Linked DNA regions of Drosophila melanogaster. The gene in region 2 interacts genetically with the main gene of each other region. Each region holds a gene or a part of one and is shown on either strand. Other genes may lie near its edges.

What was found. Genes that interact genetically often act in the same process or in processes that back each other up.
Region 1: of Tpi (region 2) and Hsp83, changing one suppresses a phenotype caused by changing the other (phenotypic suppression), as found in Drosophila melanogaster (one study listed by BioGRID).

Annotation. Positions count from the first base shown.
Region 1 is NT_037436.4:3,190,708-3,198,191, forward strand, and holds Hsp83 (heat shock protein 83), read left to right. Parts: upstream 1-2,261; 5' UTR 2,262-2,660; intron 2,661-3,791; coding exon 3,792-5,945; 3' UTR 5,946-6,352; downstream 6,353-7,484. Other genes in the region: CG14965 (uncharacterized protein), read right to left, coding at 50-1,723; CG14966 (uncharacterized protein), read right to left, coding at 6,391-6,813. UniProt on the Drosophila melanogaster protein: Molecular chaperone that promotes the maturation, structural maintenance and proper regulation of specific target proteins involved for instance in cell cycle control and signal transduction. Undergoes a functional cycle that is linked to its ATPase activity.
Region 2 is NT_033777.3:30,132,072-30,137,221, forward strand, and holds Tpi (triose phosphate isomerase), read right to left. Parts: upstream 2,529-5,150; 5' UTR 2,463-2,528; coding exon 2,208-2,462; exon of another isoform or gene 2,024-2,207; coding exon 1,439-2,023; intron 1,378-1,438; coding exon 1,171-1,377; 3' UTR 910-1,170; downstream 1-909. Other genes in the region: CG31029 (uncharacterized protein), read right to left, coding at 1-142; AdoR (adenosine receptor), read right to left, coding at 3,204-4,348, 4,415-4,910, 5,003-5,150.

The DNA of each region.
Region 1 (7,484 bases), on a different chromosome or scaffold from region 2:
TATCAGTAAAATACCCCTTATATTGCCAAGTCTATAATGGCAAAATAAACTATAAGTCTAGAAACTCTTCCGAATTTTCCGTATTTTTTTTCTCCAGCCAGGAGCGTGCAATCCGCATCGAGGGCAGGCGGAAGCGCCACTCGTCGCAACAGTACTTGTACACCTCGTCGCCCAGTTGAAGTAGTTCGGTGGCAAACTCTCGCTCGTCATCCTTCCAAGTGCGTTCCTCAGAGCCGCCGAACATTTCCATGCGCAGCAATGCGGCCATCGTGGGCCCCACGTATTTCTTTATTGCCATGTATAGCTGGGGTTTGCTTAGAGAAAGAGCAGTGGGTTTGATTGCAGCTGAAGTCCACGGGGACTCCGCTTGCAGTCGTTTTAGTTTGGCATTCTCCTCAGACAGCTTTTCAAACTCGGCCTGCAGTTTATCGTACTCCTGAAGAAGCTTATCGCGATGGGCATCTTCCGATGAAGATGGTTTTTCATCTGGTTCAGACTCGTCCTCACTGTCAGTACTAAGTGGTATGTTCTCTTCAAGGTTTAGAAAAGATTCAGATAAGGTTTCGGAAATGGAATCACTCTGACTATTTTCTTTGCTAGAACTAAGATTAATTTGGATGGATTGGGTGGGTTTCTCCAACATCGGAGTCTTCTGCTCATCCCAGAATTTCTCTTGCAATTGTGTATATCGGTTCAATATCGTACCGTTCTCAGGTGAAGCGTGGGAGTCAGTCTTTTGTGCTTCTTGGGGTAGCTTCCTTTTCTTAGCCTGCTCCTTGGTGGATTCATCTTCGTTCAGTCTATCAGCATCTGCCTCCTGCATCCCACGTTTTCTAACCACAGTCCCTTTAATTGGTCGGTACTCTTTTCTAGTTGGCACTTGCTTTTCTTGACATTTATCGGCAAGCTTTGGCATTTTCATAACGTCAATAATACAACTTTTTGATTTAATTTGCTTTTCTGATTCCTTGGTGACTGTTCGCATCTTGCTTGTATCATCAGTTTGTTCTTTTGGGAGCTGCTCTTCAAGCTGAAACAACTCATTCTCGCTTCCTGATTGACGCTTTACTGGTCTTTTAATCAATTTGATGCCCAATGAAGGCTGAAGTTGACTTATGATATCTAGAATGTTTTGAGGCATAGCCGAAGCGCTTGTTGATGTTGTAGAACTCTTATGCGCCACCGTTGTTTTCTCCGTGTGTACAACCGGCTGTTCCTGCTCCGTAGCCAGCACTTCGTCGGCTTCGTCTTTCCCTTGCGGTTCCTCCTCTTCTGTCAACTCTACTGTATTTCGTTTCTTAACAACATCCAAATTCTGTGTCTCACCATCCACGAATCCCAGAGGACACTCGAAATCTTTAGGTGGTATTAGGTGTTGCTGCTTTGGAGGCGTCAACTTCACGAGAAGAGCTTCACCGTTCTGGTCGAGATTTTCATAGTCTAGTGCCAGATCCCTGTTGATCCTGAACAAAGTGGGCGTCTGCATTGGGATGAGTCTGTCCATTTTGTAGTTCATGAAGCATTCCGCTCGAAAGTGCCGGGCACAAACTGTTTTGGCTGCCAGTTTGGACGGCGGTGCATTTGAAACGTCAGGGTTTGAACAATTCCTGACCCAATCTTTCAACCTCTTCGGATCCTTAACGGGGAACTTGAAGAAGTGCATATTGGGGTTGCGGCTAGAACCCACCGGACAATCACGAAAACAACACTTAGTGCCGCCCATTTGTTTAAATATAAGCAAACAACTTTTATGTTATTAGTGGTGGAAGTGTTAGCGTCAGCTGGTGATATCGATGGGAGGCATCGATAACAGAATTGACCGAAACCAAATGATCGATATGACACTTCTTAATTAATGAGAGATTTTTTACTTGACTGGGCTTGTAGCAGGTTTTGCACAGAAGCAATTATTTTCCGGAATGTGAAATGTCTGCTTTTTAGCTAATTACAACAAAAACTTTCCAATTTTTGTTCCCCAAACCCACTCAAGTGATTTCAAATTTTACCGTCCGCTTAAAATGGAACTAGTTTATTCCAGAGGAACCAGCTTGCACCACCAAGTCTCTGAAACTCTGGAAATATCGATAGTCTGGTGGAGAAAAGTATTCATAAATATAAATAAAAATTAACAGGTCATAAGCTGATTTGTTTATTATTTACTGTTAAAACAAGTAAAATAATATTGGGAACAATTAAATTTTCCATTTTCCTAATTACAGTATAAGCCTAGTGGGCGTTTTGATATCCAATTGTAATGTTTTAAGCAATCCCAGTGGGCTTTGCTCAATCGTTCGGACCACTTAGACGAATTTCCACCAAACTTAGTTCAGTATAATTTTTGAATTCGCCCGCACAGGTTGCGCACTTTTCGACCGTATCACAACACTGATCTACCCTAGTATTCACAGGAAGTTGCATCCCTGGCATCCAGAAGCCTCTAGAAGTTTCTAGAGACTTCCAGTTCGGGTCGGGTTTTTCTATAAAAGCAGACGCGCGGCGTTTGCCGGTTCGAGTCTTGAAAAAAATTTCGTACGGTGTGCGTCGTAACAACAAGCAGCGTCTGAAAAGTTTTGTGAATTTCCAATTCTATACAAAGCAAAGTGAAAATATCTGTATTTTTACCTTTATTCTGTGAATAGAACGAAAAACATACATACAAGGTGAGTAATGCAAATTACAAGAAAAGAGTGAATAGTTTATCAGTGGCTATGGCCAAAATGTGCATTTTGCGTGGTCCTGTGCATCTCGAATGTTCTTGACCCAAATGTGAGATATTGATTTTAAATTTCTAGGAGCCAAGTTTAAGAATTTTTTTTGATTAATTAAGAGGTGGCAACGTGCAAATTAACTCAAAATGCCGGTTTCTTTTATTTTTTGTCGCTTGGACGCATCTTCCAGAGGTTTCTATGCTTTAGCATGAATTAAACATCGTGCCAAATAGGCCTTTTAATTATATATTACTGTCCTTTATTTACAATTACATGTGGTTTATAGAATACAAGATTAATTTTTGTTTAATGCAATGGTCTTTTAGCGCTAAATCGAATTATGCCGCTCTTTTTAGGGGGTGACAATGCGCAAATCACATTTGCCGCTCGAGAATGTTCTAGAGGTTTCTATGCTTTAGCATGAATTAAACAGCGTGCCAAATAGGCTTTTTAATTATAAATTACTGTCCTTCATTTACAATTACACGTGCTTTCTTTGCATTCCCATTTTAAATTGCACATGCCGCATACGCACACATGCACGCCCATGACTAATACTTTCAAGTAAAAATGTGGCGTCAGTAAGCAAATTCTGTTAAATCGGTTTTTTAATCCTATTTGCTCTATTTTAATTGGTTGGTTGCTACTAGCAACTTGCTAGGCGAATTAGTTTTCCTTTGGCTTCTAGATGCTTCCACAAACTTCCTTGGTGAAGTACGAATTTTCAATGCAATGCTCACTCACACAGACACGAGTTTGCACACAGCAGGGGTAGAAAAATTATCAACCGACCCAATTTGCATAATTATATTTAAATATTTAAATTTAAAACATTATTTTGCAACTTAAAATCAATTCTGTTGGCTAATTGAAATTAAAATTCCATTTTACGGGTTGCAAAGTGAATGCTATAATTTTGACCACCACTGTACTTGTATATGCGCATGTTAAATGAGGCATGTGCAAAAGAGAAAGAAAGAAAAAGAATAAAACCGGAGCAGCTGCTGAAAATGCAGCTGCTTTTCCTTAGTGTTGAACCCACAGACTATAACTAATCCTAATGATTTTGTAAATCCATTGCAGATGCCAGAAGAAGCAGAGACCTTTGCATTCCAGGCTGAGATTGCTCAGCTGATGTCCCTGATCATCAACACATTCTACTCGAACAAGGAGATTTTCCTGCGCGAGTTGATCTCGAACGCTTCCGATGCCCTGGACAAGATCCGCTATGAGTCCCTTACTGACCCCAGCAAGCTGGACTCTGGCAAGGAGCTGTACATCAAGCTGATCCCTAACAAGACGGCTGGTACTCTGACCATCATTGATACCGGTATCGGTATGACCAAGTCCGACCTGGTCAACAACTTGGGAACCATTGCCAAGTCCGGAACCAAGGCCTTCATGGAGGCTCTGCAGGCTGGTGCCGACATTTCCATGATCGGTCAGTTCGGTGTGGGTTTCTACTCCGCCTACCTGGTCGCCGACAAGGTGACTGTCACCTCCAAGAACAACGATGACGAGCAGTACGTGTGGGAGTCCTCTGCCGGAGGCTCTTTCACAGTCCGTGCCGACAACTCTGAGCCCCTGGGCCGTGGCACCAAGATCGTGCTGTACATCAAGGAGGACCAGACCGACTATCTGGAGGAGAGCAAGATCAAGGAGATTGTTAACAAGCACTCCCAGTTCATTGGCTACCCCATCAAGCTGCTCGTAGAGAAGGAGCGCGAGAAGGAGGTCAGCGACGATGAGGCTGATGATGAGAAGAAGGAAGGTGATGAGAAGAAGGAGATGGAGACTGATGAGCCCAAAATCGAGGATGTTGGCGAGGATGAGGATGCCGACAAGAAGGACAAGGATGCCAAGAAGAAGAAGACCATCAAGGAGAAGTACACTGAGGATGAGGAGCTGAACAAGACCAAGCCCATCTGGACCCGCAATCCCGATGATATCTCCCAGGAGGAGTACGGCGAGTTCTACAAATCCCTGACCAACGACTGGGAGGATCATCTGGCCGTCAAGCACTTCTCCGTGGAGGGTCAGCTGGAGTTCCGTGCTCTGCTCTTCATTCCCCGTCGCACGCCCTTCGATCTCTTCGAGAACCAGAAGAAGCGCAACAACATCAAGCTGTACGTGCGTCGTGTCTTCATCATGGACAACTGCGAGGACCTCATTCCAGAGTACTTGAACTTCATGAAGGGTGTGGTCGACTCCGAGGATCTGCCCCTCAACATCTCACGTGAGATGCTGCAGCAGAACAAGGTCCTAAAGGTGATCCGCAAGAACCTGGTCAAGAAGACCATGGAGCTGATTGAGGAGCTCACCGAGGACAAGGAGAACTACAAGAAGTTCTATGACCAGTTCAGCAAGAACCTGAAGCTGGGTGTGCACGAGGACAGCAACAACCGTGCCAAGTTGGCCGACTTCCTTCGCTTCCACACCTCTGCCTCCGGCGACGATTTCTGCTCCCTGGCCGACTACGTGTCGCGCATGAAGGATAACCAGAAGCACGTGTACTTCATCACTGGCGAGTCCAAGGACCAGGTCAGCAACTCTGCCTTCGTGGAGCGCGTCAAGGCCCGTGGCTTCGAGGTGGTCTACATGACCGAGCCCATCGATGAGTATGTCATCCAGCACTTGAAGGAGTACAAGGGCAAGCAGCTGGTCTCTGTCACCAAGGAGGGTCTGGAGCTGCCTGAGGATGAGAGCGAGAAGAAGAAGCGCGAGGAGGACAAGGCCAAGTTCGAGAGCCTGTGCAAGCTGATGAAGTCCATCCTGGACAACAAGGTCGAGAAGGTGGTGGTGTCCAACCGCCTGGTGGATTCGCCCTGCTGCATTGTCACTTCGCAGTTCGGCTGGTCCGCTAACATGGAGCGCATCATGAAGGCCCAGGCTCTGCGTGATACCGCCACAATGGGCTACATGGCCGGCAAGAAGCAGCTGGAGATCAACCCCGATCACCCAATTGTGGAGACTCTCCGCCAGAAGGCCGATGCCGACAAGAACGATAAGGCCGTCAAGGATCTGGTCATCCTGCTGTTCGAGACCTCTCTGCTGTCCTCTGGATTCTCGCTGGACAGCCCCCAGGTGCACGCCAGCCGCATCTACCGCATGATCAAGCTGGGCTTGGGAATCGACGAGGACGAGCCTATGACTACCGACGATGCCCAGAGCGCCGGAGATGCCCCCTCGCTGGTTGAGGACACAGAGGACGCTTCCCACATGGAGGAGGTCGATTAAGCGACCAGTCGAAACAAACAACCAAAATTCATTCTATCACTCGCATTCACATACACAATTTACTTGCGTTTCGAACTTTTATACTGAGTTTACTACGGCCGAGTTAAATTTTGTATTCATTAACATTTTGCCGCGTTATAAGCGACAGACATACGCTTAACTCATAAAAAAGCAGGAATAACTCGTTAAATGGTTAGGTTCTCACAGAACATTCAAGAGCAGTTGTCGTTTTAAGAACTTATAATTTAGAATCCAAGTAATTTATGTAAAAAACTAAAGACTACATACGCGCCCTAGTTGGTAGAGCTATATAAAGAATCGAGTATATATATAATTAAGGTTTGATGACCCGATCGATGATAAACATAAAACCAAATAAACAACAAGCAAATGTGTTTTAAAAATCTAACTTCTGAGCGAGTATTTATTGGGGGGAATAAACAATCTATGAATCGGATTCTTTGCGCAGCAGCTGCTCAATGGCCTCCACCGTGGACACTCCCTTGGTTATCATTATTATCTTGTTTCGCGATCGAGATCCCTTGTCCAAAGAAACGTCGCTCTTTCGAAGACCTAGAACTTTCGACAGAAACTTGACCAGTTCGGCGTTAGCTTCTCCCTCGCTGGGCGGAGCGGCGATTTGGACGCCCACTCCTTCAAAGCCAATTCCTGTGATTCCGTTCTGCTTAGCCCCCGGCTTGGCAAGGATTTGTATGCATATATTGCCGCTCTTATCGACTGAAATCGGACTGGCTTCCTTAGCCGGCATCGCTTTTGCATCGTTTTTCGCACTTTCAACGCCGGCCTTTGATTTCCCCTTGCTCTTCGACATTATTTGGGCGTTGACCGATGTAAACAAGCGGCGCATTAGCTTCTTGGCAATTATTTTAAATATTTTGTGTTTTTAAATGCATTTTAATAGCAACTAGTGTTTAATTTTGCGAGGTCTACTGGCGTCTATCAGCTGATTCGTGGAGAAAACCAGGGATGCGCACATATAGGGATGAGCATATCTCGTGAGTTCTCACTCACGAAACGAAGATAAAACTACATTTTTACATTCCATGTAACTTACAGATTGGACATGAATAGTACGATTCAAAAATGTATTTTTATTTTCCTGTTGAGTATTATTTAACGGTTTTCTAAACACATTCCCCCCGAAGTCACCACAACATGTAAATAAAAGTATTAAAACAAAATATGATTAGGTAAAAAATTATCATATATTCATCATTGTTATGTACTCATAGTTTCTTCTCTACTCGTCTTTGCATTAGAAAACAACGCTTTAACACTTTGCACTATTTAAAACTGCGCCGAGAAGCATCTTAAAAATGCATTTATCGCCTATAAATGATCGGGGATCATTATTCAGTTGCTTAGGAGAGAATTGCAGGAATGCACATTGCAGAGCTTACAGTTAAATCAATTAATGCAAAATGCTTTAAATGGACTTAAATTTTGTATGTGTTTTATAGGAGTTGATATTGCAGAAACGATAATAAAGCCAAGTTGTTTGGGGTCATCCTCTGGTTG
Region 2 (5,150 bases):
GTTCCATGGACAGCTCCTCAAAGTCCTCGAACAATCGAACCGAGTAGACGGGCCTCCCACCCGCACTGAAACTGGCGGACTTGCGGGGAATCGGCAAACTGGAGTTCACAAGGATAACGTCAAAGACATAGTACTGCGTCATGTTGATCTTCTAGGGAAACTATCGCTAAAACCAAGTTAAAATTTTCTTTACTCTCTAAAGATTTGGCTAAAAACTTATTTAATTTGTTCTGATATAAAACTCCAGTCTGAATAAAATCGATGTGTTCAGGATCAGAAATGACAATAAAAAGCTCAAAAACGGAGAACTAGAGCTTGTCAAATCGATAATGTATCTAAGGCCACTTGGGTTCAAGAATTCTCAGCCTGTTCATGTTTTGAGAAAAACTGAATAATATTTTGTTGATTTACTAACCATAAATTACTTACTAAGCTAAATAACTTATCAGCTACAAAGAAATTGCCTTGTTTAGCTCCATATTTGCCAAACTTTGTGCACAATCTTCGAACACTTCGATTAGAAATGAACTCTGAGTATAAGTATAAAGTATAATAAGTACAAACTGTTTTCCTTTCTTATCTCAAGTTAAGCTATCTTATGATGCATTGCTTCTTCTTGAAGGCTTTTATGCAAGATATTGTCAAAAACATGATGCAAATGATTTGATTCACTTGTTAGGTAAGTGAATACAATGATTGCCTCGATTACTCAGTTGGAACTCATATTCCAAATATTTGCCATTTCGCATGCTTATCAGAAATTAAGTAATAACTTGTTCGGTTTAAGGTCCGCAGAGGTGACACATATATGTACATATGTGCACACAACTTTGGACACCTTGTCGTTCAACCAATCGCTCTAAAAATAGCTGAAATAGTCTTGCAAAAAATAAGACACCTGTTTGGTTTGGTATATAAGTAAATGAGTAGCGCATAATTATTGCCTGAATAATTTAAGATTTACACAATGGACTACTATACGTTCAACAACAAGGATGTGAGTAGCATTCTCGCAAGGTAACTATGAATTTGGAACTGCACTTGGTGGTGACAACAACTAGGTGTGTGCGTAATGCATTCGCGCGCAGGAGTATGGAGTCCTGCCCTCCAGTGCCTCCTTCGCGGGCAGTTCGCTGGCCGAAAGCGATCTGATGCTTGAGATCGCGTTGCTTACTGCCGGGCGTTGATGATGTCCACGAACTCGGGCTTCAGGGAGGCGCCTCCGACCAGGAAGCCATCTATGTCGGGCTTCTTGGCCAGCTCCTTGGCGTTGGCGGCGGTCACGGATCCACCGTACTGGATGCGCAGGCTGGCGGACACCTCCTTGGAGATGTTGTCGCTCAGCCACTGGCGCAGGAAGGCGTGGACCTCTTGAGCCTGCAATTGGGAAGGGAAAATATCAGTTCTGGAAGAGATTAGCCTCTGCGGGCGACCTTACCTGATCGGGTGTGGCGGTCTGGCCGGTGCCAATGGCCCAGACGGGCTCGTAGGCCACCACCACGTTCTTCCAGTCCTTGATCTTCTGGGCGTAGGCGCACATTTGGCGGGCCACCACCTCGTTGGTCTTGCCGGCCTCGCGCTCCTCCAGGGTCTCACCAATGCAGGCGATGACCTTGAGGCCCTCGGCCAGGGCGTGCTCGGCCTTCTCGGCGATCAGGGCGTCCGATTCGCCGAAGATGGCGCGACGCTCCGAGTGTCCCAGGATCACCCAGTCGGCGCCGATGTCCTTCAGCATCGCAGGGGAGATCTCGCCGGTGAATGCGCCCTTGGCCACCTTGTAGGCATTCTGGCCGGCCAGACCCAGCTCGCAGGGCAGCAGGTTGCGGGCGTACATCAGGTAGATGGCCGGGCAGCCGATGACCACCTCCGTGTTGGGGTCGAGGGCGGCCGAGCTCAGGGTCTTGGCGATCTCGGCGATGGACTTCTGGTCGCCGTTCATCTTCCAGTTGCCTCCCACGCAGAACTTTCGGCTCATGTTGTTGCTGTTGCTGTCGGTGCAATCGGTGCTGAAATTGGCGTAGAACTGCGGATCGGGGGACAAAACAAGGGGACTGCTATTAGAGTGTTTGGAACTGATAATTTCAAGTGGGTAACTCGATGACTGGAGGCTCGCCGTCGACTTTTCCACTCAGATTTTTCCCAGATTCGAGATTAATCCCGGCACAGAGCACACACCCACCTCGAAGTTCGTCTGCTTATGTACTAACCTTCTTTTGACCTTCGTAAGTCTTCCACTGGCACTTGAAAAGCTTTGGGAAAACAGCTGTGAATTTGCCCAGCAGAGCTTCCGAAACGACGGCTTTTAGTACCTCCGCCGTAACACCACCCACAGTGGGTCGGTTCTGGTCCATGGTGGGGATGGTGTGGTGGTTCCGATGATACGGGAATCGCTGGAGAAGCGTTACTGATGCAATGCACTGGATACCGTTCCTGTTCAGATCATTGAGTACTCCAGGCGGCATTTCTATTGTGGTTACAATAGTAAGTAAGGAGTAGTAAAAGTTATTCTGAAATTATATAAACGGCTTGTTGGGGTTTTAAAAATGTTGCCGGTTTTAGATTTAGCAGTGACTCCAACCATCTGATGGGGAACTTTGAGCAAGTGAGCTCCAATAGTTTTGGCGTCGCTTCCAAAAAGCTCTGGAAAAGCTTTTATCAACAGGCTTGCCAAAATCCGCTATACTAGCATATGTAAAAGAAAAACTTGTATACCCTACCAATAGGCATACATCGCATCAGGACTTATTTAACCAACAAAAATAAAACACAACATGAATGTACATTCTGGTTTAATCGCTTTATTTAACTTCAACTTTGAAATTCATGTCGCATGGCTTAACTTGGTTTTCACAGACGTTCAGGTATACATAAGCTGACATATACACAGTAAATACTCTAACAACATTAAACATATGTATGTACATAATTAACTAGTCCGTAGAAACGTATTATGACCATACACTCAAAATAAATGCGCATAGCTCCTAATCTCTATATTTCACTACCGAACTAATTGATTTAGATCCGATATAGAATTTGACAACGTTTCCGAAAGAGAGCCTAAGAGAGCTGGAAAGTACTTAACGTAAAAGCTTTGACTTGCGAGTATTTCCTCAGGGGTCACCCCTTACCCCTTTCGCATCCTTGTGATCCTCTTCCAGTGGACTTTCCTGCTGATCCCGCTTCTTTTCCGACCGCGAAGGTCAACTCTCCGCGCTGGTCGCCAGAAGGGACGGCGAGGAGGTGGTCAGACCCACTGGAACCGATTCCTCCTGAGCCTGGCCCATGGGCGGTGGTGATGGAGTGGGCGTGGAGGCCGTGGACGACGCCGTCGATGAGGTGGGACGGGCGGCGTGAGGCTGGAGGAAGTGAAACAAGTTGGAATGCTGCATGAAACTGCCCACCGATCTCAGCGGACTAAAAAAGTTCTCTGTGGGATGGTTGGCTGGCTGCGGATGCTGTGGAAGTACAGAGGACTCCTGATCCCTGCAGAGATTACTGCTGGGCTCGTCGTGGACCCCTCGTCCCTTAGCGATGGAGCTACAGTTGCAGGATCGGCTCTTCTTCAGCGAACTCCGAGTGAATGCCGTGCCCTTTCGATACTTAGGCTTGTGCCCATTTGAGCCGGGACTCGCCTCACTATCGATCACAAAGATACCGGATTGCTCCTGGGGAGCAGGACTCGCCGTGGATCCTGGCAGGCAGTGAGCGCTATTGGAGTTGCCAGCAAGCAGTTTGGCCCTCAGAAGAGCCGGAAGTGGGCCATTTGTGGGAGATGTTTGAGTGGAGAGCGGTCTCTCCCTGGACTGTTCATCTATGGGAAGATCCTGATTGTTGCCCATTGGCCTGGAGTCCGTGTCATCCGATCGCAATTTCTCCCTCATGACCAAAGCCAGGGAGCGACGCAGTTCCACGGGATCTATGCCAGGCTGAACGGGATTTGGAACAGAGCTGGCCGGCACGAATACGTCCTCAAACTCCAGATCATCATCATCTTCGTCCTCATCCTGGCTGAAACTGTAGTTGTGGTTGTCATAGGAGGCGGACGGAACTGAGGGCTTCGCAGGAGCAGGAGGAGCTGGTGGGACTGTGGAACTGCTATTTCGTTCACTGCTGCGCTGGGAACCCGGAGCGGGGGAAGGGAACTCGTAGCTGGTTTCACCCAGCTCGGCGCCACTGGAGGCCTCCACTATGTTCCACATTTCTCGCTCGAGATCTGTGGTCACCGAAGCCACGGCGGCCACCGTTTGGTTGATGTTGTTGAAACAGGGCGACACCACTCCGCACTTGGGCAGGAGCTGGGAGTTCTTCAGGGCCTCCTGCTGCTGCCTCAACCAAATGGGTGAATCTGCAGGGAATGTTACGAGAGTTATAGGGATTTTGCCACAGTTCCAAGGAGACAACGCGCACTCACACTCACCCACATAGAGGCGCGGCTGCGTGGAGCGCATATTGGAGTCCATGGACTGCAGGCGATGCTGACTGGCCACCGAGAAGCGGTGGATTGCCTCCGCCTGCTGATCAATGTCCACGCCCATCATCTTCAGGAGTAAGTTCTTCAGCGCGGCCCTGAAGTCCTTGAGGTGATAGGCATACAGGACCGGATTTACCGCCGAGTTCAGATGGGACAGAATGATGCAGAAGAGCGTCAGCTTGGGATGCACATAGCAGTCGGGACAGAAGGCCTTGATGCAGTTGATCGTATAGAGCGGTATCCAGCAGATCATAAAGAACAGCACGATAATGGACAGATTCTGGGTGGCCTTGACGTCCCGCTTCCTTGCGGCGCCCAAGACCCGCAGCATGGTTCCCGTGTGTCCACCTCTTCCGGGTGTCGTCACCTGCACCACGGCCGCCGAGGAGCGACGACTGAGATCGGAGGCGGGGTTCATCGTAACAATCTGACGGACCTTTAAAGTTCAATTGAAAACGGATAGTTAATATTCCAAACTCTATGGAATATATAAAAAACTTTACTGGCGAAAATCTATCTACCACTCACCTGTTTGATGATGACCCGGTAGATGTGCGTGTAGAAGGCCAGCATCAGCAGAGCCGGAGTGATAATGGTGGCAAAATAGAGGAAGACGAGGTAGTTGTAGTCCATCACCTCCACGAAGAGACACTCCTGGTTGTGATTGACATCGGCG